Linked DNA regions of Oryctolagus cuniculus. The main gene of each other region encodes a partner of the protein of the gene in region 4 in a complex. Links are inferred from orthologs where the notes say so. Each region holds a gene or a part of one and is shown on either strand. Other genes may lie near its edges. The genes, in order: NRIP1, CREBBP, MED1, PPARG and NFKBIB.

What was found.
Region 1: the proteins of PPARG (region 4) and NRIP1 are in contact, whole or in part, in a crystal structure (PDB 9CWN), measured with the Homo sapiens proteins. The link is inferred for Oryctolagus cuniculus from reciprocal best matches to the Homo sapiens genes PPARG and NRIP1. Residues at the interface, in NP_056953.2 of Homo sapiens: Val321, Gln322, Thr325, Lys329, Phe334, Leu339, Gln342, Val343, Leu346, Lys347, Pro495, Leu496, Glu499, Ile500, Lys502; in NP_001426204.1 of Homo sapiens: Ser130, Thr131, Leu132, Leu133, Ala134, Leu136, Leu137, Ser139.
Region 2: the proteins of PPARG (region 4) and CREBBP are in contact, whole or in part, in a crystal structure (PDB 7RLE), measured with the Homo sapiens proteins. The link is inferred for Oryctolagus cuniculus from reciprocal best matches to the Homo sapiens genes PPARG and CREBBP. Residues at the interface, in NP_056953.2 of Homo sapiens: Val321, Gln322, Thr325, Glu326, Lys329, Phe334, Val335, Leu339, Asn340, Gln342, Val343, Thr344, Leu346, Lys347, Leu496, Glu499, Ile500, Lys502; in NP_004371.2 of Homo sapiens: Asp62, Ala63, Ala64, Lys66, His67, Lys68, Gln69, Leu70, Ser71, Leu73, Leu74, Arg75.
Region 3: the proteins of PPARG (region 4) and MED1 are in contact, whole or in part, in a crystal structure (PDB 6ONJ), measured with the Homo sapiens proteins. The link is inferred for Oryctolagus cuniculus from reciprocal best matches to the Homo sapiens genes PPARG and MED1. Residues at the interface, in NP_056953.2 of Homo sapiens: Val321, Gln322, Thr325, Glu326, Lys329, Phe334, Leu339, Asn340, Asp341, Gln342, Val343, Thr344, Leu346, Lys347, Gly427, Leu429, His494, Pro495, Leu496, Glu499, Ile500, Lys502; in NP_004765.2 of Homo sapiens: Asn638, Thr639, Asn641, His642, Pro643, Met644, Leu645, Met646, Leu648, Leu649, Lys650, Asp651.
Region 5: the proteins of PPARG (region 4) and NFKBIB are in contact, whole or in part, in a crystal structure (PDB 9CK0), measured with the Homo sapiens proteins. The link is inferred for Oryctolagus cuniculus from reciprocal best matches to the Homo sapiens genes PPARG and NFKBIB. Residues at the interface, in NP_056953.2 of Homo sapiens: Gln322, Thr325, Lys329, Phe334, Leu339, Gln342, Val343, Leu346, Lys347, Leu496, Glu499, Ile500; in NP_002494.2 of Homo sapiens: Asn286, Pro287, Ile288, Leu289, Ala290, Leu292, Leu293, Arg294, Ala295.

The regions. Positions count from the first base shown.
Region 1 is NC_091435.1:32,123,770-32,129,616, forward strand, and holds the start of NRIP1 (nuclear receptor-interacting protein 1), read left to right. Parts: upstream 1-2,101; 5' UTR 2,102-2,223; exon of another isoform or gene 2,224-5,847. UniProt on the Homo sapiens protein: Modulates transcriptional activation by steroid receptors such as NR3C1, NR3C2 and ESR1. Also modulates transcriptional repression by nuclear hormone receptors.
Region 2 is NC_091450.1:31,788,874-31,793,920, forward strand, and holds part of CREBBP (CREB-binding protein), read left to right. Parts: intron 1-510; coding exon 511-588; intron 589-888; coding exon 889-956; intron 957-3,206; coding exon 3,207-3,357; intron 3,358-3,589; coding exon 3,590-3,736; intron 3,737-4,127; coding exon 4,128-4,241; intron 4,242-5,047. UniProt on the Homo sapiens protein: Acetylates histones, giving a specific tag for transcriptional activation. Mediates acetylation of histone H3 at 'Lys-18' and 'Lys-27' (H3K18ac and H3K27ac, respectively).
Region 3 is NC_091448.1:22,905,131-22,910,759, forward strand, and holds the start of MED1 (mediator of RNA polymerase II transcription subunit 1), read left to right. Parts: upstream 1-2,102; 5' UTR 2,103-2,324; coding exon 2,325-2,349; intron 2,350-4,905; coding exon 4,906-5,012; intron 5,013-5,629. UniProt on the Homo sapiens protein: Component of the Mediator complex, a coactivator involved in the regulated transcription of nearly all RNA polymerase II-dependent genes.
Region 4 is NC_091441.1:114,813,015-114,818,526, reverse strand, and holds the end of PPARG (peroxisome proliferator-activated receptor gamma), read left to right. Parts: intron 1-3,753; coding exon 3,754-4,001; 3' UTR 4,002-4,373; downstream 4,374-5,512. UniProt on the Homo sapiens protein: Nuclear receptor that binds peroxisome proliferators such as hypolipidemic drugs and fatty acids.
Region 5 is NC_091449.1:15,860,993-15,866,645, reverse strand, and holds the start of NFKBIB (NF-kappa-B inhibitor beta), read left to right. Parts: upstream 1-1,839; 5' UTR 1,840-1,926; coding exon 1,927-2,105; intron 2,106-5,653. Other genes in the region: SIRT2 (NAD-dependent protein deacetylase sirtuin-2), read right to left, coding at 1,477-1,692. UniProt on the Homo sapiens protein: Inhibits NF-kappa-B by complexing with and trapping it in the cytoplasm.

The DNA.
Region 1 (5,847 bases), on a different chromosome or scaffold from region 4:
ACAGTTACTTTCTTGTTTCAACTTTAAAGAAAGAAATATAACTGAAAATTAAAACAGTTCAGTTATATGCAAAAATTTCATTGGTTTAGTCAAAAATGACAAGGGGCAATATGGGCTTAACAGTTATAGTTTCTGAGGTTGGAAAATGGGATTTAGAAAATTACCAAGTTCCTCGGCAAATTCTAATAGGAGTACTAATACAATTGCAAATCTGGTTGTTTTAAAGCAGATATTAATCATTTCCTTCTAGTATAGGTAATCAGAAAAGTTATTCCCCTGCCCCACATGTCCCTCTTATATTGCTGATAGAATTTATAGGCAAAGCTTGATTTGAGTCCAAGGTCTGTAATTTGAGGCCTGTCACTTAGCCAGCCCTGCTTAGTGTCTGTTTCTCCTCTGTAAAATGGGAGAATGCCTTCTGCTCATTTCACTGAGTAATGAAGATCAAATAAGGTCATGTCCGTGAAAGTGCTTTATAAACTGGTAAAGCATGTAGCTTACATAATGCTTGTTCCCATTCATCTGTCAGATCTGCCTCTTTCTGTTTGTTAGGTCGCTGGTGAGGGTAGCATGACAGCCAGAACTACCTCTGTAATGTGTACTGCCTCTTAGGATTAAGTATTTGTTTTATACTTGCTCTAGGGAGTGGATAGTTTTACATTTTGCTGTTTTCATCCTCTAATTTATTTTGTCTGTTAGTAAAGTAGTAATATATTCATTGTAGAGAGACTAAAAAATAGAAATCAACAACAAACTTAGCTGTCTAAATGCAAAAAATGTGTTTTTGTATAATTTTAAAACAAAAATTTAATTATGTTGAACATGTCTCTTGTTTTTATTTGACATTTAATACATCATTCCATATAGCTTAATTTTGTTAGATAATATTTTAATGGCCATAATATATCATAATTTATTTAATTAGTTTTAATTATTTTATTTTGACATTGAATGATATTTATAAATTTTTCTGTTAGCAATAATATGAATATCCTTATGGTCAAATATTTGTATAAATCCTTCATAGGTTATTTATTTATTTATTTTTGAGTAGGAGAAATCTTGGGCAACTATGACATCAAATAACATTGATGGGCATTTGACTTTTTTTTTTTACAACTTCATTGAATTTCAGTTGATAAGTAATAAACTGCACATATTTAAGATGTATACTTTGATATATTTTGACATATATGTACATCTGTGAAACTATTACTGCATTTAAGCCAACATCCAGGGCTAGCTGTTAAACCTAGCAGTTAAGATGCCCACATTGTGTATCAGGGTACCTGGGTTCAAACCCTGCTCCGATTCCGGACTCCAGCTTCCTGCTGCTGCAGATACTGGGAAGCAGCGGTAATGGCTGAAGTAATTGAGGTCCTGTCATCCATGCAGAAGACTTGAATTGAGTTTCCAGCTTGAGTCTTTAGCCCAGCTCAGTCCTTACCATTGCAGGCGTTTGGGTAGTGGGCCAAGAGATGAGATCTCTCTGTCTCTCTCTCCATCTCTTTTTCAGCCTCTCAGACAATTAACTAAAAGATAACATCTATATATAGTCCTTCCCTTTTAAATTCTCCATCCCCAGCTACCCCACTGATTTGTTTTCTTTCACTATTGATTAATTTTCATTTTCTAGAATTTTATGCAGATGGAATCTACAACTGAGAATGTTTGTAAGAGAGAAATTATAGCTTTTATTTTTCCTTCCTTTTTTTCTTTATTGGAAATATACCTTCAGGAAAATTTAGACTTTTTGGTTGTAAATTGATTGAATTAATCTGACAGAACACTATTAAGATGAAAAAATTTACAAAGGTTATTAAGTACATCCTAGCAACCCTAAGCCTTTTTTGTAGTTTACTTTGTTGAAGCATCTACTTTTTATCAGTTAAGTAATTGTATTATCTGGAACACAAAAATCTGTTGCTTTCCTTTAACAAAACAGTATTCATAAAAGCTTTGTATTTCCCTGTCAAATGACTTAACTTTTGCATTAAACTTGAACAAGAAAAGATTCTTGAATACATTTACCGAACTTAGAAAAGGTATTCTAGAATCTGGCTTGGAATAGTTGCCAAACTATCTTTTTCCTTTTCTTAAGATGCATACTTGACTAACGCAGGACTGGGGAATCTGAAGACTCCAGATGACATCAGAGCTACTTTTCAACAGCCTTCTCAGTTTCCTTTCACAGAAAGCAGAGGCTTAAACCTTGGAGTGACGGTGAGAATATTTTTTTTATTTCTTCAGGCTTAATCATTGTGATTTTGATATATTTCTGAAAATTCTATGTTATAGAATTATAAATTCTTATATAATTATAAATTATAATCATCAAATGTGTATTATGTGCTTTTATCAATGCAGATTATTTCATTGGACTATTGGTTAAAAAATAAGATACAGTCCTACTTTAAGGAACTTACAGGGAAAGGATAAATGTAGATAAATAAATGTAGTCAAACAGTAAAAGATTAAAATTTCCTTAAGAAAAACACAGCAGATATTCTTAAGAGTTAAATGTGTAGATTACTTCTGGTTGAAGAGATTGGGAAGCTTAAAAGAAGAGATTATATTTGTGTGGGTGGTACTTACTTTTACCAGAAATCAGAGAAATTGGATAGTTAATACAAAATGTGAAGTAGCAATCATTTCAGATAAAAATTAATTATATAGTATCTTGAGGAAATGTGGAAGGATGTTTGGTTGTTATGAGTTTGTTATGGTATAGGTCAGTGATTACTTCTGGAATTATGTGAAATGGTTACTCTTCCAAGGCAAAGACTATACTAGCATCTGAGAAGTGATACAATAATTGGTTCAAATCAACACCACTAGGTGCGCAGTGCAAGGAGAGAGCAGAGTGAGTGGTTAATTCTACTTGGATTAACACTCCTGTTTTCTAGTCTTTCTGCAACCTAAGTGAATTTGTCACGTCATGTTTGTCATGCTTGTTTCTGAGCAGAAGCAAACCAGGTGAACTAGGTAAAGGCACAGGTAACTGCAAAAAGGCACAGTGAATGGTTATTCTTCTCATAATTAACTGTGATTAATACCTCTTTCAGGTATTTACCTGAAAACTCTGATCAGAAGAGAGAGCAGGTGGAGCATCCTGAAATTCTGGGTGTTCTAATTCACTAGGATGTTTCAAAACGGGCTTGGGAACTCAGCCAAATTTGCACTTTACCTGCAGGCATAATATGGTTGTCACAGTGATAGTACCTAATCCTTTTTCTGCACTATTTTGGTTATGTTAAGAAAACTTAGCGATGGGGTTATTTTAATCATTCCACTTAACTGCTTTGGCTTTTCTTGTAATTTCACCAAGAAAAATCTCTAAAACATTACTTGTCAAAAACAATTGTATAAAATTGTTGTTAATTCTTTGGTTGCTCTGCATTTTTTTTTTACAACTATTCACATATTTTTACCTCTAAGTTAGAATTGTAAATACACTAGACTTTTATTTAGAAATACTAAAATTTCTTTTATTCAGCTGTAATTATGTGTTAAGAAATGATTGATAATCTTATATTTGCTTTCATGGGGTCGGTGTTTGGGACCCAGCAGATTAAGTTACTTCTTGCGATGCCACATTGCATAGTGTAGTGCCGGTTCAAGTCCCTGCACCTATGTTTCTGTTTCTGATCTGGCTTCCTGCTAATGCTTCTTTGGAAGCTGCAGATAATGGGCCCATATTACCCACTTGGAAGACCTGGATGGAATTCCTTTTCCAGCTCTGACAGGGGTGTTTAGGGAGTAAAGAAGTGGATGGAAGATTATTCTCCGTGTGTGTGTTTCTCTTTGTTTCTTTTTTCTCTCTCTCTTGCTCTTATTCTCTGGTCCTCTTTCAAATGATGAAAATAAATAAACTTTTTTTTAAGTTCATGGAAAATTTAAGCAATAAGTTGATTTTTTAAAATCTTTTATATTTGGAAAAATATAGTTGATATTGAACCCTGTTTATCAACTTTTAATTTTTTTTTAAAGATTCATTCATTTATCTGAAAGGCAGAGCTACAGAGAGGCAGAGGCAGAGAAAGAGAGGTCTTCCATCTGCTGGCTTACTCCCCAGATGGCTGCAACAGCCAAAGCTATGCCAATCTGAAGCCAGGAGCCAAGAGCCTCCTCTGGATCCCCAACATGGGTGCAGGGGCTCAAGAATTTGGACCATTCTCCACTGCTTTCCCAGGCCACAGCAGAGAGCTGGGTGGGAAGTGGAGCAGCTGGGACTCGAACCTGCACCCATATGGGATGCCGGCACTGCAGTGGAGATGTGCACTGGCCCCCTAAAGTTTTATAAAAAAGAACATTATAACCAGGCATACTCCTGTTAACACTTCTGCCCCTTGCCCCGTGATATAGTTTGTTGTTCTTAATTTTTCAGCATCCTTGTTCTACTGAGTAATCAGAATGGTAAGCAACAATCACTCATGGCATATGAGTAAATATGTAAATGAGTTATTCTTAGACATGATCAAAGATTTTTCTTTCAGATTAACAAAAGTTATTTAGAAGGTACAGTGAAAAACTTTGAAAACATAACACTGTATTATTAGTGGAGATTTTCTAAATTCTTTACATATATTCAAAAACGATTTAAGATTTTAAAAGGAATTATGCCAAGTTTCTGTTGTCTAAGGTCGTTCTTCCTTTGAAATGAGGAGCTCATGATCAGTTAGTTGGAATATGTTGGGTCAAAGTATATGAATTTTTTTCAGTACCCTTCCATTAGCCAGTGGATTATGTCTCCAAGAGGGAGATCTCTGGTATGTATCTCAGGAGACTACTAGTTGACAGTTGGAGATTCTCGACTAACATGCTTTACTGTAGTTTGTTACACATCCATATTCTAAAAAGTCTTGTTATACTTTTAAGTACAGTAATGTCCTTTTGAATGAAAGTCCAAAGAAAGTATTGGAAAAATGAATTTGATTACTTATACTTTGAAACCACATAAAACATGAAGTGTTTATAAAGCTTTTTAGTGTTTCAGACCAGATTTCCCTTGCTTACTTGTTAGCTTCCCCTTTTGAAAGAAATGGAAGTCATTGTAGGTATTAACTAACAAATTCATGTTTTATTTTATTTTATTTTATTTGACTCCATATACTCTGTATGTTTGCTCATATCAGTGTGTAACATTTATTAGCTAATTTTGACGAAACTGATGATACAAAAGCAATGAATAACTTGGATAGAATTAGGTAAATTAACTGTAAACCAATTTAGCTTAAGCCTCCGAATATATCAACTTTTTCACTAAATGGAATTTTTATTGTTATATGTCATAACTTTTGTCTGTGGAATGTTCTTTACTGTTTTTTTTTTTTTTCCCAGTTTGATTGAATTGTTATGATTTCAACAGATGTCTTGAAATTCACTGGAAAATTTTGTTAAAATTTTTGTGTTCAACAAACAAATATCTATAAAGATACGAAAATAGACAATAAAGAAGGCTAATTTTTGTAAAGTAGGCATTAGTAATGCCTTCCCCAAACTTTATAAAACTCTCCTGAAAAGTACAGTGGTCCCCTGTTAAAGCACAGATAGTATTAAACCGTATATAGTACTGTTTTGTTAAGTACATGCATTCTATGAAAAAGTTTAATTTAGACATATCTAAGTAATTGACAATAATAATAAAACAGGACAGTTATCATAGTATGTTATAATAAAAGGTATGTGAATATGGTGTTTCTCTCTGCAATCTTACTGTATAATTGTGCTAACATGGGTTAACCACAGATGATTAAAACCGTGGAAAGTGAAACCATGGTTAAGAAAAACTACTGTAATGTATGTTGTGTTTAAAATAAAAACACTTTGTAAACAGTGCTTAAAATT
Region 2 (5,047 bases), on a different chromosome or scaffold from region 4:
TCCTAGGAACTGTATTTATACACCGAAGGTATTGTCCTCTGTTTCCTAAGTCAGCTGAGGCACGTGAAGTCACTTCGAGAAAGTATGTGTAGTCGTGTGAAGAAGTAGTGGCCTTAATTTACGGTGTAAGGAGACTTTGAGAAGTTCACAGAGCAGTGAACATTGAGCACAGCGCATGAAACGCCACTCGGGGATGCCCACGTCTCTGACCAGGGTCCAAGTTCACAGAGTATTTGCATTACCACTGAATGCCAATTTCCACGAAAGTCTTTGAATCATCTTGGTAGTTTGTGAAAAGATAAGGTTGCGTTTCTGGTTGCAAAGGGAGGTTGGGAGCAAGAGGAGTGAGGCGCTTGTTCTCTGGAGGAGAGGTGGGAGGTCAGCCTCGCCTGTGTCAGCCTCAGAGGCGCTCCTGGTGGCCCTGAGAACAAGGTGTGCGCACACTCAGGCGCCTGCGGCTGGTTTCATTTGTGTTTCTGAGTGCGTAACTTTGGGCTTTTTGTCTCCTAGTTTTGTTGATTGCAAAGAGTGTGGACGGAAGATGCATCAGATTTGTGTGCTGCATTATGACATCATTTGGCCTTCGGGGTAAGTCATTTCCTGTGGTCTTGGAACCGGTGAGCAGCTCGGCCTTGCGGGGTCGGGGTGACAGTGGCGGTCTCTTCCTTGTTGTCAGACTGCAGCAATCATAGGAGCTGGCGGTTAGTTCTAACTTGAAGTCTTAAGTGTTTGCCCGCTTTAGGAATGGGAGAATCAAAGCTGTCTGCCTCTTCACTTTTTTTATAATGATGTGATGCAGATGCCAACAAAGGGTTGTGATGCTGTGTTTTGCTGGTTTGGCAGCACATGCTGGTGGATGGAATCTGATCACACCTTTTTTTTCCCCAGCTTTGTATGCGACAACTGCTTGAAGAAAACTGGCAGACCTCGAAAAGAAAACAAATTCAGTGCTAAGAGTAAGTCTGTGGGAGACTTTTGTTTCCTGAACGGTCCTCTTTAGAACTTGGGCACATTGTCCTGGTCTCCTTGGGTGCCTCTCAGTCGATGAGTACTTTTACAGCTCAGTTATCTAAGGTTTTAATCTATTTTTTAATACTTGATATTTTTATTTTTATTGATTGATTGATTTGAAAGTCAGAGGTACACAGAGAGGAGAGGCAGAGAGAGAGAGAGAGGTCTTCCACCCGATGGTTCACTCCCCAATTGGCTGCAACGGCTGAAGCTGTACCAATCCGAAGCCAGGAGCCAGGAGCTTCTTCTGGGTCTCCCATGCAGGTGCAGGGGCCCAAGGACTTGGGCCATCTTCCACTGCTTTTCCAGGCCATAGCAGAGAGCTGTATCAAGTGGAGCATCTGGGTCTCGAACCGGCACCCATATGGGATGCCAGTGCTTCAGGCCAGGGCATTAACCCACTGCGCCACAGCGCCAGCCCCAATACTTGCTATTTTTCTTGTCTTACCCATAAATAGTCATGTGGCTTGATCTTTATATGAAAGTCAGCTTTTATGATCAGTCTGTTTTAAGTTAATTTTTGAATTTATTTACTTACATGAGGTCTTGTCTTGCTGGTTCACTCACTCATTGCCTGCACACAGTGGCAGGTGTCCAGAGCTGAGAGCCAGGATTTTCATCCAGATCTTTCTGTCTTGGTTGCAAGAAGGGGAAGACCCCTTGGAGGGTCTGCACAAACAGGAAGCTGCAGTCAGGAACTGGAGCCCAGTGCAGAACGTGGGCGTCCACACCGTGCTGTGCTTGCTGCCCCAGAGCAGGGCTTAACGCAAGTTCAAACTCTGCTGTTAACCAGAATTTATATATTTATTTGAAAGAGTTACACAGAGAGAGAGAGGTCTTCCATCCAATGGTTCACTCTCCAGTTGGCCGCAACGGCCGGAGCTGCGCTGATCTGAAGCCGGGAGCCAGGAGCCTCTTCTGGGTCTCCCATCGGGTGCAGGGGCCCAGCACGTAGGCTGCTTTCCCGGTGCATCAGCAGGGAGCTGGATCAGAAGGGCGCAGCCAGGACATGAGCCCATGCCCATTGTGGGACGCCAGTGCTGCAGGCCCAGGCTCAGCCCACTACTCCACAGCGCCGGCCCCCCAGGTTCACCCCAGTAAGGAGTCTTGTGAAATGCCAGGTCGTTGTTTAAATGTCTCTGATTGGGAAATACTAGAGAGTCGATGAAGAAGACCGGCGTCCCGGTGAGCCTTGTGCCACTTTCCTTTGCAGGCATCTGTGAGGCGTGCTCTGTGCCACACCGAGTGTTGACCCTTGTTTCTTCCTTGGGGGCTGGCCTCGTGAGGGGGAGCGGCCTAAGAACGGCCACCCTGTCAGGGTGCACACTCGCTTGGAGACGGTGGGCATAGGGCCAGACTCACATGCCTGTGCAGTTCCTGTCCTCCACATGACTGGAGAGTCCCTGAAGCAGCAGGCCATCTTCGGCTGATGCTTTGTGGGTGGTTCCTGGAATGTTCTAGTCTGCAGAGCTGGTCACTCACCAGAAACCCGCCTTCCCTGAGGGTGTAGTGCCCATCCTCTGGGGAAGCACCAGCCAGTCTGATTGCTCTAGGTGTCCTGCTGCGGGGTGCTGGTGGCGGGAAGGGCCTGGGGCCTGGGGTAGAAGGACACAGCCCGGCCCCTCCTTGGGCCTGGCTTCCACCCCACAGCTCCTGCCAGACCTAGGGCTACCTCTACCTCTAGTTCTTCTGCCCCTCACTATTAGAAAAAGATGGAAATGTCTGGGAGTGTTGTTGGTTTTCTGGCTGTCGAGTGCCTGAGCTCCCTGAGTCCACCTGAGGAAGACAGGACCCCTCCTGTGTTTGGAGAGCTTCGCTCCTTTACAACGTCGGCCGTGGGACGGGAGTTGTTTCACAGCGAGTGAAGCCTCCTCTGGGGACACCCGCAGCCCACGTCAGCATGCCGGTCCGAGCCGCTTTCTGCCCGTTGGCCCGGGAAGGCAGTGGACAGCAGCTCGGGTCTCTGGGTCCCAGCTCTGGTCTGTCCTCAGGCTGGATGTTACAGATGCTTGAGGAGGGAGCCGGCGGATAGACGGTGTCTCTCTGTCTCCCCTGCTCTGTCACTCTGCCTTTCAAATAAGCAGATAAATAAGGTCTCCAGTAAGACAGATGTAAGACTGTGCCAGGAGAAAGGTGGTGCTGTGGTCTCACTGGCCTTTGCCTAAGCCTCTCACCTGCTCCTTCGGACTTCCTAGGACTGCAGACCACACGCCTGGGAAACCACCTGGAAGACCGAGTGAACAAATTCCTGCGGCGCCAAAACCACCCTGAAGCCGGGGAGGTTTTCGTCAGAGTGGTGGCCAGCTCGGACAAGACCGTGGAAGTCAAGCCTGGGATGAAGTCTCGGTGTGTGTGCTGTGCTCTCCGGCCGCAGCCAGGGCCCGCGCGTGCAGGGCCCTCCTGGCAGCCCAGCACGTCTCCCAGAATGCGGGCCCGTGCGGGGGTGCCGTGCCTGCGTGAGGCTGGGAAGACATGGTTGCGGCTTGCGGGGAGGCACGGCCGTGTTGCCCCAAGACGTGAGGCAGGTGCGGAGCAGAGGCTGTGGAAGCAGGACGTTAAGCGCTGGCTTTTCTTCCAGGTTTGTGGACTCTGGGGAGATGTCCGAGTCCTTCCCATATCGAACCAAAGCGCTCTTTGCTTTTGAGGAAATTGATGGAGTGGATGTGTGCTTCTTTGGAATGCATGTCCAAGAATATGGCTCCGATTGCCCGCCTCCAAACACAAGGTAATCCCAGCTCTTCCCTTAGTAAGTGTCTTAGGGGAACTGTGTGCTTTGGTTCTGGGAAGTTAGGTTAAGCCGCCGTTAGCCAAGCTTAGTTTTGTTTACCTGAGAACTCATGGAAAATGAAGGGACTAGACGACTGTGGCGAGTGTGCGTGTCCCCGGTCCGGGGCCCTGGCCTCCCCGCCGCCTCCGTCTCACCTAAGCAGGTGTCCGCACTCATGAGAGGCGCCTCTGCCGGGAGTTCCCTCCTGCTGAGGCAAGAATGGCAGTGGGCAGGGGCGCTGCCGGCGGCTTCGGCAGAGCCTGTTTCTGCAGATTTCTTGGATACTGCTGTTTGGTTTCCAGTTTGAGGGGTACCTTGAGTTAAAAATGGACCCACCCCACTCCCGCAGGCGTGTGTACATATCCTACCTGGACAGTATTCACTTCTTCCGGCCCCGTTGCCTCCGGACAGCCGTTTACCACGAGATCCTTATTGGATATCTAGAATATGTGAAGAAATTGGGGTAAGTTTGGACTAAACTGTTCAGAGCTAGTCAGAGCTCTCTGCATTTCTCGGTGTGTGTGTGTTGTGAAGTCATAATTGCACGGTTTATGTTGGCTGTGTTGTTTCTCGCACCCCGAGGTCAGGTCGGGAGCGAGTGTGGGGCCAGGTGTTCCCAGGGCGCGTGCTCTTCCTCTGCCTTTGCCTGCTTTTCCTTCTCCTGCACTTCACTGGGGCGTAACTCCACACCCAGAACTCGCCTGTCACAGGTGTGTGCCTCAGCGGGTGTTCGGAGGCGTTGCCACGTGGTGGAGCCATCAGCACACGTTGGTGTTGGAGCGTTTCCATGGCCGTGCGGATTCCACACGCTGTGCCATTGGTCTCTCTCGCCTCTGCCCCAACCCCTCATCCACTTCCCGTCTCTGTGCCTTTGTCTTTTCTGTGTAAGTGGGATCCTTAGTGTGTGGTCTGTGGTCTGACTTCGTTGGCTTTGCTTGTATGCTCTAGATCTACCGCATTGTTTTCGCAGACTTGAAAAGGTTAGAGGGACTTGATGAAAGGGTCTTAAAGAATGCGACGGTTGTGACGTGAACCCCTTAGAGAGATGCTGGGCCGAGCTGCCTTGGCAGCGTGCAGGAGGAGGCAGGCGGGGCCCAGCGCCTCCCTGCGCCGCCTTCCCTCTGCCTGGGGGCTCTGTGACAAGGCTGCAGCTTTGCGCTGTGTTTCTGGCCCTGCCTGGCACACGCCCAGGGGGAGAGAGAAGTTGTAGCTTTTGAGTTTGCAGGTAGTAAAGATTCAGCCATACCCGCCTCAGCACACTGGCTCGGA
Region 3 (5,629 bases), on a different chromosome or scaffold from region 4:
CAGTTTCCTGCTCATGAATCTGGGAGGCAGTGCACAACCCAAGTACCTGGGTTCTTGCCACCCACACTGCAGACACAAATGGAGTTTGTGGTTTCCTGGTTCTTGCCTGGCCCAGAGCAGCTGTTGTCACTTTGGCTTTCAAATAAATAAAATAATAAAAAAAAAGATTTGGTTAAAGTTTGAAATGATGCAACACAGGACCTCAAATCAGGGATCAGAAAGTCTTGCCTTTCTTGCCTAAAGGGAAAAAACTTTACTTAATTATTTGAGAGGCAGACAGAGAGAGCTCCCATCTGCTGGTTCACTCCCCAAATGCATGAAATGGCTTGGGCAAAGCCAGTAGCCAGGAATTCAATCAGGGTGGTGGTAGGGACCCAAGTACTTGAGCTATTATCTGCTGCCTCCCAGGGTGTGCATTAGCAGGAAACTGGATTATAAGTAGAGCCAGGACTCAAAACCAGGTACTCTGATATGATATGTGTGCATCCCTGGGCATCTCTTAACCACTGCACCGAACACCTGCCTGGAAAATATGCTGTTAATCCCAACTCAAGTGGAGCACTGTTAGTCTGCTTTCAAGGAACCAAGTACTCTGACGTTAGGATGCAAATGCCCACTTTGGAACAAACATTTAACTTAGATTTGAATGAGAGCTGAAAGGGTTGGATAAAGGGGAGGCTTCCCAGCAGTTAGAAAGGCCTGTAGAAGGACCTTGGGAGGAATGCAGGAATTCTCCTCCAAATGAGGGAAAGTCAGTATGCTGGGGATTGGGACAGGCAGAAAAGCTGGATCTAGACAGGCTTGGTAAGCCAGTAAGATTGGCTACCAGGCCTAGGTACAGTGCTAGGGAGTGATGATTCAGTAACACGGGGCCATTTCTGCCCCTACGAAATTCACTATGTATAATATGACTCCAAAGAATGACGATAAGAGGAAAAAAACAATAAAAGTGTAATCCTATTTTCAAGGGAATGTTATAATTACCTTTGTGGCAGTAAAGAAACAAGTTGCCAGGTTATTTTTTTTTTTTTTTATCAAATTTATACTGCTGTGCCTACTCAGTTGAATTGCAGTTATTTGCTGAGATGGCTCTGGATATGTGAATGCTATTTTTTAAATGTGGAAAAAATCTGAGACTACAGTCAGTAGAAATTCATTGCTTAAGCAGAAGATGGCCCAAGTCCTTGGGCCCCTGCACCCGTGGAGGGGGGGGGAGGGCAGCAGGGGGACTTGGAAGAAGCTTCAGGTTCCTGCTTTGGATTGGCTAGGTCCAGCAGTTGTGGACATTTGGGGAGTGAACCAGCAGATGGGAGACCTCTCTCTCTGCTTCTGTAACTCTACCTTTCAAATAAATAAATCTTAAAAATAAAAAAGAAATTCATTGCTTAATATTCTTGCAGAAAACTAGGTAAGATCCTACTTTCCAGCCGCATTTTTGAAGGATGTATATGAGAAAATTCTTTTTAAAAGTAGCCTTTAAGCTCCAGTGGCCATGCACTTGCCAGCATTGCTATGGATTTCTCTTCATGAGGATTTATTGACACAAGAGAGAAGACTACACACTGTGATCTGCAGTGGAGATACAAGCTAAACTGCATGTTTCCACCAAGACACAGTGATAACATGCACTTGCTGCTGAGAACAAGTTTATTTTAATCCAAAGCACTTCAGATTTTCAAAACTGCTGCAACTGCTCAAGAAATATTCCTGAAACTTAAAAAATATTAGAAAATGGTAATTAAGTGTCCTAGGCAGCCTTCAAATGTCGTGTTACAAAGAGCCAGTGTTTTTATGACAGTTTTACTGCATCTAGCATATAAGGGAAACTCTACTGTATTTGATAAAACATTTCAGATACCAGTATTCTTTGAAAATCTAGCCTGTAAAAAAAAAGGGGTTCTGTGGGTTTAGTTTCCAAACTAACGGCTAAAATGAAAATGCAAGTTTTCGTACAACAACCGAACTCTACCTGCTCGCAAGTTCAGAACGAAGTACCCAAGAGCTAAGAGACAGCCGGATTTGGAAGAAATCTCGCGGAAGTACGTCATTCACCTCTCGCGAGACTTCAGTATCCCGTCGCTTCCTTTCTCGCGCAGGATCACGGTTTATCTCGCGAGCTTTAGGAAGTTCCGTTGGGGAAGATGGCGGCGGCCGCAGGCACCCTTCTCTTCTTGCCACCGGGGACTTCAGACTGAGCCTTCCCGGGAAGAGTAGGGACTGTTGGTGCCCTGCGTCCCGGGAGCCCGAACTAACGTGGCTCTCCCATTAGTGGAAGGAACGGGCTTCTCCTCTTGTGGCGGACCCAGGCCCTGCCCGTCGTCAGGATGAAGGCTCAGGGGGAAACCGAGGGTGAGTGACAGTGGGGGAAAGGAGGGGGCGGGACTCAACTGGGGGCAGCCAATCTGGGCGAGGAGGTGGGGGCCGATGCCCCGTGGGGGCCGCTTTCGCGGGGGCACTGAGTCCAGGATGCGGGATGTGTGTGTCTTAGATGCTCATCATGCCTTCCTTGATGGTGATAGAGCGCTGACTTAGGGTGGTGGGGGCTCCCAACTTGGGTGAAGATTTCCTTTTTATATAGAGACAGTACCTGGGGCTTCTGGGCACTTTTAGCCTAAAGTGGTGGAAGATCAGGCGAGTGAATATATTAGCTGTTTGCAACTCATTCCGGAAGAGACCATTGAATAATGGCCTAAAAACAGCCATACGGAACCGTGTATCTAAAAGTACTGGAGAGTATTTTGATGTGAATGATGTGATTTGGTCCTGAGGATACAAAATGCCTGCACTTCCTAAAAGTCACAGTGTTCCCATCGGTGGCCGGACTGATTTAGAACTGTTGAAAACGACTTTTTCTATGGAAATTTTTACTCCGATTCTCTGGAGTTCCACACTGCACTTTCAATCACAGCTTACTTTATTATCATTGTTCATCCTTCCAGTTTGTTCTGAGCTTTGTAGATCAGGGGGCTGCCCTATTCATTTTTTTTTTTTTTAAAGATGTATTTATTTGAAAGGCAGAGTTACAGAGAGAGAAAAATCTTCTACCTGCTGGTTCACTCCCCAAATGACCGCAATAGTTGGAGCTGGGCTAGGCCGAAGCCAGGAGCCTCCCCAGCGTCTCCCATATGCGTGCAGGGGGCCACTCTCTGAGGCCATCCTCCGCAGCTGTCCCAGGTGCACCATCAGGGAGCTGGATTGGAAGCGGAGCAGCTGGGCCTTGAACCTTTGCCCATATGAGTTGTCAGCATCCCAGGTGGTGACTTCACCCGCGATACTACAACACCGGCTCCCTTATTCATCTCTGTATAATCTCTGGCACATAGTAGTTGCTCAGAAAATGTTTGATTTGAGTTTCAGACTAAGGACGTTTTACAGAATGCTTCTCAAGAAAAAAAAGGGGTGTGATTTGAAGGAGAAGAAATGTGTGTCCCTTGGGTGTAAAGTGGAAACACCATCAGGCAGGAGTTTTGTATGGTTTGCTTACTACTGTGTCTGCAGCACATACAATTGTGCTTGAATGAATGGCTTGATAGTGGGAAATAGGAATGTGCCCAGAGCAATCAGCTGGCTGAAGCAGCCTACAAACCAGTTTTCCAGAAGATGAAGGCGTGAAGGAAGGAGTCTGAGTCTTGACTGAGATCATCTTGCTGCCTTAACTCTGACCTTCTATTTATTTTTCAGTGCCAGTGTCAACAGTCTGTTTTTTTTTTTTAATGTCTCCATATTGATTATGTACTTTTCCTTCTTTGCTATTCAGTAGTAATGTCTCTGCTTTTAAGAGCATTTCTTTTTGCACCAATGGTAATTCCCATGTTAACTTGATCACACTGCCTCACAGATGTCACCTCAGGCATATCTTGTTATTATTATTATTATTATTATTATTATTTTTAACAGGCAGAGTGGACAGAGAGAGAGAGGTCTTCCTTTTGCCGTTGGCTCACCCTGCAATGGCCGCCGCAGCTGGCACGCTGCGGCCGGCGCATTGCGCTGATCCGAAGCCAGGAGCCAGGTGCTTTACCTGGTCTCCCATGCGGGTGTAGGGCTCAAGGACTTGGGCCATCCTCCAATGCACTCCCGGGCCACAGCAGAGAGCTGGCCTGGAAGAGGGGCAACCGGGACAGAATCCGGCGCCCCAACCGGGACTAGAACCCGGTGTGCTGGCGCCGCAAGGCGGAGGATTAGCCTATTGAGCCATGGCGCCGGCCCTCCTCAGGCATATCTTGTGTTCCTTTCCAGTGGCCCCAGCACAGGTCTTCGCTCATACATGGCAGTTCAAGAACTAGGGGAGGCTCGAAGGGTTTAAGAGGTTCATTCATATTCTTAGTTCAGGAGCTGATCCTTTCTGCCTTTCTCTTAACCTCTGTTGGAAATTCATCTTTTGGTTATTGATTTCTTCCCTGTCCATATAATTTTAGCTATATGGAAAAATATGAAACATCAGATAGGCAATTAGGGTCTGTTTTCTTGATCATACTTATCAACCAATCTCTTAAAATTATGGCCAAAAATTAAGGAAGTATTTTCACATTGAAAATCAGCTAACCATTGTAAGACCATGTTCAAATGTATGCTCTCTATAAATATTATACAGAAATTTCAGGCATGTTATGAAAATGACTGTCACTAAGTTGTAGGCATGGTCGTGAATCATGATTAGACTCGGTTCCTTTTTGGGTTCCCATTAAAACCTTGAATGGAATGTCCTATGGTGTTCCTTTTATCAGACCCATAAGGTATGTGTCTTCTCACCTTTAAAAATATTTTCTTTATGTGGTTTGAAGAAATTATATCGAAAAGTAGTTTAGCCAATTCTTAGATTCGGCTGTGTGGGGGTTTCTTTTCCAAGAAAAACGAGGTCTTGATAAAGGAGTTTCTAATGATGTTTTCTGATTTATGTCGTAGAGTCGGAAAAGCTGAGTAAGATGAGTTCTCTCTTGGAACGGCTTCATGCAAAATTTAACCAAAATAGACCTTGGAGTGAAACCATTAAGCTTGTGCGGCAAGTCATGGTGAGGATTGTGGCAAGTGGGTAAAGTGTTATACTTAGATAATAAGTAAGCTCCCTGTGTCCAAATTAGCTACAATAGTGTCTTCAGATTTATTTATCATAAAACACTGGAATATATTGGAGCTTTTCAGGGACCTACCTAGGAAGGAGCTATCCATTCATCCTGGTTATCTAAGGGGGATTGTTCCAAGATCCCCCGTGGACATCAAAATCCCCATTTGCTCAAGTTCCTGTTATGAAATGGCATGGCATTTGCATATAACCTATGCACATACTCCTATATACTAGAAATCATCTCTAGATTACTTATAATAAAAATGGAATGTTATGTAAATAGTTATTACATTGTGTTGTTTAGGGAATGATGACAAGAAAAAAAGTGTTTGCTATAAAAGAAGTTGTTTTTTTTTTCTGACTCTTTAATCTTCATTTGGTTGATTGTGCAGATGTGGGATTTGCAGATACCAAGGGCTGACTGTATTTATAAAACTATATTTATTGTGAGTTTTGGTACCCAGTGGGTACTTATAGCAAAGGTGCCAAGAAATATGCCTGTTAGGGACGCATTTGGCAGACTGGTATTAGAAGACATTCTTCGCTTCCTTTTAAGCTCCTTGA
Region 4 (5,512 bases):
CATGATTCTCTTGTCCAGGACTAAATCACTTGTTTCGTTCTCAGAATAAGATTTTTTGCTGATGGCTCCAAAATAAAATGCTGAAAATCTTAAAATATTATACTTATTCCAACCCATGGGATATATTAGAGAAGTTCGAGAAAACCAAAGACAAGTTTCCTTCTGTAATAAAAAAAGAAGAAGAAGAAGAAGAAAGTTAGTTTAGCAGAATGTTCAGGGTTCTGAAAAGCTCACACTGAGGTCACCCTGCATTGTAGCCTTGGTTTCCTGAGCCTCACCTGAACAGATGCAGGTTACTCGAGTTTATTAGAGGCAGGAAAAGTCGGTGTACGTGAGACTGCTTCATGGCGTGGTGGTTCTGCCTTTGGGCTCCATTCACCAACCGGGGAGAACTGTACTTTCCGATCCAGGGCCTGAACGACCTTTTCACTCATTGACTCAGCCACCCGAGTGCCTCTTGTGTTTCTGCTAACGAACGGTTCACAGACATCAGGGCGGCCTACAGGGGAAGATAAAGCAAGTCAGTGCTTAGAATCCAAGTGAAGAAAAGTTAAGAGGAGAGCCTTTGGAATCAGACGCACTCCACGCAAACCTCAGCTCTCCCGAGACTAGCAGGTGGCAGATCTCGGCACGATTTAACTCCTTTCCCTGAAGTCTTCATTCCCCCTTCAGAAAGTACCACCTCACGGAGTTATCATGAGGATTAACTGGCATGTTGTGTGCACGGCCCTTGGCGGTCTTTGGAGAATAATAGCCTTTCAGTAAATGCAGTCGGGTACGGTCGTGCTTGAGTCATTTACAGGGTGCTGTGGGAGCACACGGCAAGGACAGTAGAAGAACAGAGGACGTGGGGGGCTCGTGCCGAGGAAGGGTCCAGGCCAGAAACCCAGCAGAGGCTGCTTTCTGAAGAAGGGGTTGGCATCTCTAAGGCAACAGTGAGAAGGGCGGGTTTCGGGCAGAAGGAACAGGACCTGATTAGGCACACCGTCCTGACAGAGCCCAGGATGTCGGAGGAGCTTGGTATGGCTGGAGCAAAGGGATAGTTAGAGAAACTGAGGCTATAGCAAGAGCAGGAGCGGCCTCCGAAAGCTGGAAGAGGGCATGTAGCAAGGACAGCCAAGCGGTTGTGGAGTGAACGGCCGTCAAGAGCTAAGCTCTGGCCAGCACCTTGGCTCACTAGGCTAATCCTCCACCTGCGGCGCCGGCACACTGGGTTCTAGTCCCAGTTGGGGTGCCGGATTCTGTCCCGGTTGCCCCTCTTCCAGGCCAGCTCTCTGCTGTGGCCCGGGAGTGCAGTGGAGGATGGCCCAGGTCCTTGGGCCCTGCACCCCATGAGAGACCAGGAGAAGCACCTAGCTCTTGGCTTCGGATCGGCCGGCCGTAGCAGCCATTTGGGGGGTGAACCAATGGCAAAGGAAGACCTTTCTCTGTCTCTCTCTCTCACTGTCCACTCTGCCTGGGGGGGGGGGGGGGGGAGCTAAGCTTGAAACCAGCACGAAACACCAGTGTCCCAAAGGTTGCTCATGACCCCTGCCTGCTGGTGAGCCTTCAGGAGCAAACCTTGAATTCTAACGCTGTGCAATAGAAATGAAACTTGAAAAACAAGAACCAAAACCCACACTTTCTACTTGGAGATTCAAGAACTTAATTTTAGGTAAGTGTAAGACAGGCTGTTTAGCAAAGACCCACGAGAGCCCTGTGGGTCGCAGCCCCTTAGAGGAAAATTAGAGCTCACACACACCAATCAGGAAGCGATTAGTACCAACACAGAATGGACTAAGCCGTGAACTCCAGGAACTAGAAAAAGAGAAAAGAATGAACTTAAAGGTTTTAAAGAAGGAATTTGATCAACTGAAACTAAAATATAATTTTCAAAAGCAGTTGATAAAACCAAAAGCTGTTTTCTTCAAGAAAAAAAAAATAGATAAACCTTTGACAAATCAAATATTTTAATGAGGCCGGCACCACGGCTCACTAGGCTAATCCTCCGCCTTGCAGCGCTGACACACCGGGTTCTAGTCCCGGTCGGGGTGCTGGATTCTGTCCCGGTTGCCCCTCTTCCAGGCCAGCTCTCTGCTGTGGCCCGGGAAGGCAGTGGAGGATGGCCCAAGTGCTTGGGCCCTGCACCCCATGGGAGACCAGGAGAAGCACCTGGCTCCTGTCATCAGATCAGCGGGGTGCGCCGGCTGCAGCGGCCATTGGGGGGTGAACCAACAGCAAAGGAAGACCTTTCTCTCTGTCTCTCTCACTGTCCACTCTGCCTGTCCAAAAAAAATATATTTTAATGAGCGAATACACAGATAAAGAGCATTAAATTAAGGGAGCATAGTGAAAGCAATCAGAGAGCTCCAATTCTAAGAGGAAGTCATGTACCGCTTTCTTCCAATATAAAATACTAAATTTTTTACTTTGTAAGTAGGAAACCTGAATAGATAAAAAGCTGTGGAAGGAAAAGCAAAGGCAGCTGAAGCTTTATCACAGGCTCAGGTGGTTCTGCAAATGGATTCCAGGAAATCCGCGCAGAAACAGAAGGAGGTCTCACCCCAGTGTGCAAGGCGAGTTAACATTTATTTCCAAAACAGGCAGAGAATGGCACAAAAAATAACACTCTGGGCAATATCACCTGCAAATATGAAAGCTCTAAATAAAATATTAGCAATTGAGTGCAAGAATATAAGGAAATCTAACGTAACACTGCACCAGACTAAGATAAAACCATATCTCTTTAGATAGCATATATCTGTAGATAGAAAAATTTTAAAGCATTTGATAAAATTCAACAACATTCCTGACTAAACAAATTAAAAACTTGAAAATTCTTGGAAAGCCCGGAGTAAAACATACCCAGCATAATCTATAGCAAACATCATACTTGATGGGAAACCCTTAGAAACATTTTCTTCGAAGTCAGAAATAAAACAAGAATGCCCCTGATTATTGCTGCTATTTAATACCACATCAGAGGTCTTAGCCAACAGTATAAAAAAGGAAACGCAACGTGCAAACACTGGAAAATAAAAAACAAATAAATCTACCAGTGTTTATAGGTGTGACTGTCTAATCAAAAAGGAATCCATGATTAAAAATTACTTGCACTGACAAAAGTTCAGAAAATTAGAATAAATTCAATATAGTAAAATCAATAAGGTTTCTAGACGTCAGCAAGAATATATTAGAAAAAGAATGAAAATGAAGAGACCGTTCACGATAGGAGCTATAACATATTTAAGGATAAATCTAACTAGATGCGCAGGAAGAAAAACATTACCAAAGGTGCGAAATTAATGTAAGCTGCTTTCTGCAAATTGAAATGGGAGGCAGAAGAAGATGCAGTCGCACCTCTCCCGAGAAAGCTCTGTGAAAATGCTGGGGGTCTGTCCCCGCAGACTCTAACGGTGTTTGAGAACCGTGCTGTCACGCTGAGACGGCCCTGTGCTGTATTGACCAGGAGGAGGACGAGGCGCTCTGTTTGGAAGTGGGTCTGAAGCTTGGCGGGGGGCAGGAAGGAGCAGGTGGTGGAAGCGGGAGGCTCAGCCTGGGCGCGGGGTGACTTTGAGGCCGTGTTGCCGCCACCAGCCGCAGAGACGGAGCCCGGGACGGCCAGCGGTCTGGGTTTCGATCCCGCCCAGCGTCGGCCTGCCTCCCCGCACCTGTCCCCGGGGGCTGCCCCCGGGGGCTGCGCAGGCTCCGAGGTGGGCCCAGAGGGTGTCCTGACTGACCCTGCTGCTGTGTTTTCCGTTTCTGCTCCCCCAGACCGCCCAGGCCTGCTGAATGTGAAGCCCATCGAGGACATCCAGGACAACCTGCTGCAGGCCCTGGAGCTGCAGCTCAAGCTGAACCACCCCGAGGCCTCGCAGCTGTTCGCCAAGCTGCTGCAGAAGATGACGGACCTCAGGCAGATCGTCACGGAGCACGTGCAGCTCCTGCAAGTGATAAAGAAGACGGAGACGGACATGAGCCTGCACCCCCTCCTGCAGGAGATCTACAAGGACCTGTACTAGCCCGGCCCTCCTGAGCCACCGACGCCGTGTCCTTCTTCCAATTGCACTATTATTTTGAGGGAAATTCTGACACCTACAAAATTTTACTGTGAAAAAGCATTTAAAAAGAAAAGGTTTTAGAATATGATCTATTTTATGCATATTGTTTATAGATATACATTTACAATTTACTTTTAATATTAAAAATTACCATGTTATGTAATTTGCTGGTAGTATTTGAAGACCGAGTGTGATGTGTTGCCCCACCCCAGCCCCTTGGACTCCCCCCCACCCACATCTTTTATTTCCGTTCTTCATTCTGTAGTCATCTTCTTCCACGTGAATGGAGCTGTTGATAAACTTTAACCCTCAGTAAATTAATTTTTTACTGAATTTACAACTTTCCTGAACTCTACATCTGCTTTCACAATTTTAACTCAGGAAGGGGGACTTGAGAACCGAAAAGCACTCGCAGCGTGTGATGCTCAGCCTGGCAGCTTGCCCCTAGGTTGACCTAACCACGACTGTCACCGCGAGCAGCCTGGTGCTACCCCTAGGTTGACCTAACCACGACTGTCACCGCGAGCAGCCTGGTGCACACAGTCGCCTCTCCATGCCTGTGGGAGAATGGCTCCGTCTCACACACTGTGGATCCCAGGCCACAAGAAGCTCACGTCGGTAAAGGGCTGTGCTGCCTTCATGGATCCTGTGCACACCCTCCCCTGCGCTTGGTGCTGTGGTTTTATACTAAGGACTTGCATGCACAGCGCACGTAGTTGCCGTGTGTACTGGCAGGGCATGACACCAGGAGGAAACGTCTGAACGCGGTCAGTACAGGTGCAGTCTTCTCAGATATGTTCAGTCCGCAGATGCAGAACCCACAGAGGAGGAAGGTCAGGTGTACTGCCCACGGCTCAGATACCAGCACACACACCCCCAAACCGCTGAACTGAACGCTGGGCGCTGCTGGAAGCTCTGGGAAACACAGCTTTAAGATTTGACACCTGACAAAAACAATTACAAAACTGAGGCCAAAAGATGAGCTTTGTGAATACAGAATGCAATACACAGTAGTGGTTATGTGCCAGACGAGCGATTCAGGCTGCAAGCTGGGAGGGAGAGTCCCATGGAAATGCAGGGTGAGGGGACTGGGACAGGGGAGAATCCCTATGCAGGGTAAGCGATGCGTTGTAACAAAGCTGCAGGAACAGCAGCCGTAGCGAAAGGGGCAAAAAGAAAGGAAAGCGAGCGACTTCCTGGTTCCCAGCCACCCTCGCTGGGGCCGCTTACCCTGAGATCTCTTAACTTCTGAACGCAGGCTGATCACCCCCATCGTTTGTATAATCCCTGCCTCCGCAGCAAGTCGAGTGTGAGTTTCCCTGCAGGCAAGGGCCGCCTTGGCACAACTAACAGACTGGTTGATAAAACCACCAGTTCCACTGGCCTTGGCGCCCCATGACCTCACTATGCTGTTTTTAAGAATGCCCGGCGACCATCATGGCGCCTGTGTTCTCCAAGGCAGGTGTCCCCAC
Region 5 (5,653 bases), on a different chromosome or scaffold from region 4:
CAAATCCCTCATCTGTATGATGGCCACGATAGGTCTTACCGCTCATGCGGGTGCTGGGCAGACAAAATGAGATGTTGCACTACGCAGAGCGCCTGGCTGGCTAAGCAGCCGGTGAACACGCTAACCGAGGCTGCTGTGAGCCGGCCGCCCCCAGCCTGCATCGCACGGTCGCGCCCCGGTCTCCGCACAGCTGCAGCCGTCCCATGGAACACCTCCTCACCTCATCTATGTTCTAAGTCACTCTTCACTCACTATGCTGCGTCTACATCTCAGTCTCACTCCTGGGCCAGCCTGGGGATTCTCCGAGGGAAAGGCCTGGCTGGGGTGCTCCATGACCCACCACGCTCGCTCTGGGGAGCTCAGGGACCAGAGGGGATCCCTGGCTCTTCCAGGGCCAACACAAACGAGGTTCAGAAGGAATGGGAAGGGGGGTGGGCAGCAGCAAAGAGAGAGGAAAGTTTAGGAAGGCAGGCCTGGGGCTGAGGCTGTACGTTTTTCTCGGAGGTCCCCAACACCCCCCATTCCCCAAGAGGCTGCACCCCTGCAAGGCGGGGCGAGGGGCCCCGGGGGAAATGTCTCCCCTCTGCCACCTCCCCCCAGAGTGGGATGTGGGAACGAGTCCAGCTTCCTCCTCCCCTCCACCATTTCCCCATCTCACCTGAGCCTCTTGCACCTTCCCTGCCTGGGTCTCCAGAGGGTCAGAGGCTGGGGGAGGAGGGGGAGCAGACGTGGTTACAGTGGGGGGAATGGTTAAGAGGGAATGAAGGGTTAAAAGTGGCCGCGGTGGGAGCGGGGGCAGGGGCGGCAAGAAGACCCAGGGTCATGGGGCGGTGGAGTGGCAAAAGCTGAGCGGAGGGAGGCAGGGGAGGGGGCTGGCGGGAGAGGTGGTGAGTAGGGGCAGAGTGGCTGTGGCGGGGCAGGGTTGGGAAGAGAGGCTGGAGGAAGCTTAGGAAGAGTTAGACAGGGCAGAGCAGTGTGTGAGTGTGCGGGGAGGGAGAGGAGGCTCCCAAGGCAGAGGAAGGTTTAGACAGGAAGCGGGGCTCGGGCTGGAGGCGGGTTTGGGAGAGGAGGAGCGGTGGAGGTGATGGCACAGGAACTGCAGGGGAGAGACGGGACGGGACACCCGGGCACCCCTAGCATCCTACGGTTGCCCCTGACAACCAGGTGCTCTTAGCAACCGAGACCGCGGCAACTTTTGTCCTCAGTAACGAGGGTCCTCAGCAACCAAAGTGTGAGAAACACACGATCATTAGTAACTTGGAACACGGACGAGGTAAACGGACCCTTAAAACCTCGCGACCCAGAGACCCGCCACCCCGCGAGTGTGGATCAACCTAACTACAAGCCTCGGAACCCCGCTCCCTCAGTGTAGCCCTGCGCTCCCAGCCCCCCGCGCCCGCCCTCGGGCCCCGGGGCCTGCAGCCCTCGGCCAGGCCCCGGCGCGGCCCGACCCTTCCACCGGGGCCCCCGACTCACGATCCGGCTCGGCCATGGGCTCGGGGCGGGGGCCCTCGGGGCTGTCACCGACTGCTCTGTCCCGTGACGGCACCGGAAACAGAAGGGGAAGGCTTCGGGCATAGAACTACGACTCCCAGCACCCATCTCGGCCGCATACAGGGCTTTCCCGCAAACGCCCCGTGCGCGCCCGAAGGCGGAACTACGAGTCCCAGACGGCCTGGCGGTGGCAGCCATGTTAGTAAAGGGCGCTCGGAAAATGTGGGTATTGCCCGAGAGCCGTCGTGCATCCCAGTGCTCTGATTGGCCACCCTGCACCAAGGGGGCGGGGCGTGACCGATTTCGCCCACTCTAATTGGATTTACCAGGGGGCGTGTTGGGGAATTTCCCGCAGGGCGGAAGTGCCGGAGCTCCGGGCAGAGCCCAGCGGCAGGCGGGGAGCCGCGGGGGGCCCTGAGGTGGCTGGGGGCCATGGCTGGGGTTGCGTGCTTGGGAAAAGGTGCGGACGCGGATGAATGGTGCGACAGCGGCCTGGGCTCTCTGGGGCCGGACGCGGCAGCCCCAGGAGGCCCGGGGCTGGGCGCAGAGCTGGGCCCAGGGCTATCGTGGGCTCCGCTCGTCTTCGGCTACGTCACTGAGGATGGCGACACGTGAGTGAACCTTAGGCTGTTAAACGAAGCCCTCGGATCCGAGGCCTGATTCTCCATTCGTTTCTGAGTGTCTGTGGTTTCCCAACCTGTCACTCCTGAATCTGACTTCCGTTGCGGGACTTCCTGACTTCACACCCCCCCCATCCTAATTTGTAACAAAACCCAGTTTCCGATCAGCTTTGAGCCCGATTCGATCATTGCCGACCTACTTTCCCTGAACCTTGATTTTCATGCCCCCCCCCCCGAACCTACATCCTCCTAACCCACTGATCCCAAAACCCGATTTGACCTTCTGACCCCCAGTCCTTAGTAGAGTTGGGGCTCAGGCTGTGGCTCCCCACCCCCCCATAGCATCTCTGATCTGAGCTGCTGACTTTGCTTCGGGGGACCCTCGGCCCCCGCCTCTAAGAGCCTGCTCCTGGGCTCTGATCTTCCCGGCTTCAATTCCGAGACAGCCCGTGAGCCACGGGAGAGCTGAGGTGGCCTTGCACCTGACCCGGGTCCTGTCTGAGCCATGGACAGTGAAGGAAACAGAAGCTTTGGTGTGGCGTGGGGGCCGGGGGTCGCGGTCACCAGGGGCGGAGCCTTCTCTGGGTGGGAGGGTAGGAGGGAAGAACCTCCCAGGGACAAGACTGTAAAGGACCAGCTGGGCACCTTCTCTGGGTTTTGTGGGGTTTTTTTTGCCCGTTGATTGCTGGGTCCCCAGAGGCTCAAAATAGCGCCTGACCCACGTCTTCTCCAAGAACCAGCGAGGGTTTCGCTACTTTTCTCCCTCTTTTCACTTTCTATTTCATTAGCCCCTAACCTGACTTTTATCTTCTTTCTTCTGAATCTTGGGTTTAATTTATTCTTTTTGTAATTTATTTTGTTCTTTTTTAAATTTTTTAAAATATTTATTTATTTATTTCGAAAGGCAGAGTTAGAGAGAGAGGGAGGGGAGAGATCTTTCATCCACTGGTTCTCTTCCCCCAGAGAGATTAAATGGCCATGGCTGGGCCAGGCCGAAACCTGGAGCCAGGAGCCTCTTCTGGGTCTCCTTAGCGGGCGGCAGGGCCCACACACTTGGGCCACCTTCTGCCGCTTTTCCCAAGCTATGAGCAAGGAGCTGGGTTGGAAGTGGAGCAGCCGGACACGGAACCAGAGCCCGTATGGGATGGGTGTCCCAGTGGTGTCCTCGCCGCGGCCATAATGCTGGCCCTGTCTTTTTGTGATTTCTTAGGATGAAAGTTCATGTCATTGATTTGAGAGCTTGCTCCTGTTTTAATGTAGGTTATTGAGTACTATGAATTTTCCCCTGAAAGCTGCTTTAGCCTTGTCTCACAATTCTGATATGTTGTATCTTGATTTTCACTTAATTCAGTATTCCTTATAATTTTCTCTTTTGAATTCTTCTTTGACCAGTAGATTTAAAAGTCTGCTATTTGGTTTCCAGATAGTTTAATATTTCCAGGTATTTTTCTGCTGCCAATTTTCAATTCCATTGTGGGCAGAAAACATACTTTGTACGTTTTAAATTCTTTTAAGTTTTTTGAGACTTGTTTTACGGCTCAGAATGGTGTACACACACTTAAAATACTCTGTACCCTGTGGTTAATGTAGCGTCCTCTGCATATCAGTTGGAGGCTGTGTTGGCCCACAGAGCTCCAGGCTGCTTTGTCCTTGGTGATGGTTTTTCACTTGTCTGTCAGTGGTTGAAAGGGAAAGTCTGAGAGCTCCAGCTGTAACTCTGGGTTTGTCTGTTTCTCTCTCTAATTCTGTCAGGTTTTGCTTAATCTAGTTTGAGGCTCTGTTATCAGGGCACAGATATTTAGGATTATGAAATACTGTTACTCGATTCATTGATCTCCTTAGCGTTTTGATATTACCTTCACTATCTGTGGCAATATTCCTGGCTCTGAAATCTACTCTGCCTGATTTTAAAATACTCCTTTATTTGAAAGAGTGAGAGAGAGAGAGAGAGAGAGAGAGAGAGAGAGATCTTCCAACCTCTGGTTCATTCCCCACATGGCCACAACGGCTGGGGCAGGGTCAGGCCGAAGCCAGGAGCCTTCAACTCCCTCTGGGTCTCCCGCGTGGGTGGCAGAGGCCCAAGCACTTGGGCCGTCCTCTGCAGCCTTCCCAGGTGCATTAGCAGGAAACCGGATCAATAGCGGAACGACCAGGACTAGAACTGGGGCTCTGGTGTGGGATGCTGGCGTCACAGCGGCCGCTTAACCCCCTGCGCCACAGCACTGGCCCCTGTTTTGTTATTTTAGTGGTCACTTTAAGACAGCAGTTGGCAATGGAGCCTGCCACCTGGTTTTGAGTTAAGAATGGTCTTTATATTTTTTTAATTTTTAAAAAATAATCAGCAGAATAATACTGCTTGGTAAGTGGAAATTTTATGAAATTCATATTTTGGGCCCCAATAATAAATTGGAGTGCTCTTTTATTTGCATATCGTCGTCCATGGCTATTTGCAGTAGCAGAGCTGAGTGGGTAGAAGGGAGACCATGTGACCCACAAAGCCTAAAGCAGTGCTCTGTCCCAGTACAGAAAACATTTGCTGACTCCTGCCTTAGGGCTCATACTGACAACTTTGTGATATCATGCACTTTACACAGAGTAAAAGAACCTTAGAATGATACATCTGGGGGCTGGTGCTGTGGCACAGTGGGTTAAGCTGCCACCTGCAGCACCAGCATCCCATATGGGCACTGATTCAAGTCCGGCTGCTCCACTTCCCATCCAGCTCTCTGCTGTGGCCTGGGAAGGCAGTGGAGGATGGCCCAAGTGCTTAGGCCCCTGTACCCACATGGGAAACCTGGAAGAAGTTCCAGGTTCCTGGCTTCAGCCTGGCCCAGCCCCAGCCATGTGCAACTATTTAGAGAGTGAATCTACCCGTGGAAGATCTCTCTCTGTCTCTCTCTGCCTCCTTTGTAACTCTGCCTTTAAAACAAATAAAATATCTTTTTTTAAAAAAAGAGTGATATAACAAATAATAGATTTCATTTGTCCCCTCCTGGCCTTAGTATTATTGCTGTCATACAGTTTATGTACAAGTTATGAAGTCCAGGTGAGCTTTGTTATTGTTTTTGCCTAAACAAATACTTTGAAACATTTTATTTATTTTAAAGATATATATAGATATAGATAGATAGATAGATAGATAAATAGATAGAGAGAGACAGACAGAGACAGAGACAGAGAGAGAGACAGAGATTCGCGTCCCCGCACTCCCCAGAAGCCCAGCTGAAGCCGGAGCTGGGTCTCCCGCGTGTGTGCCAGACCCCACGTGCTTGTGCCGCCCCTGCGGGCCCCGGCGCGTTAGCAGGAAGCTGGAATCAGGAGCCAGAGCTCCAGACGCAGGCGCCTCCGCTGGCGTCTCAGCCGCTGGGTCAGTGTCCTTCCCTCTGTAACCTTTCCCGTGGTGTGGCTCTGCCGGCGATGAATTCCCTCAGCTTTGGCATATCTGAAAGCCTGTTCGGTTTTCACTAAACAAGGTGTATTTTGTTGTTGTTGTTGTTTGTAATCCAGGCCGGCACAGTGACCCCTGCAGTGCCAGATTC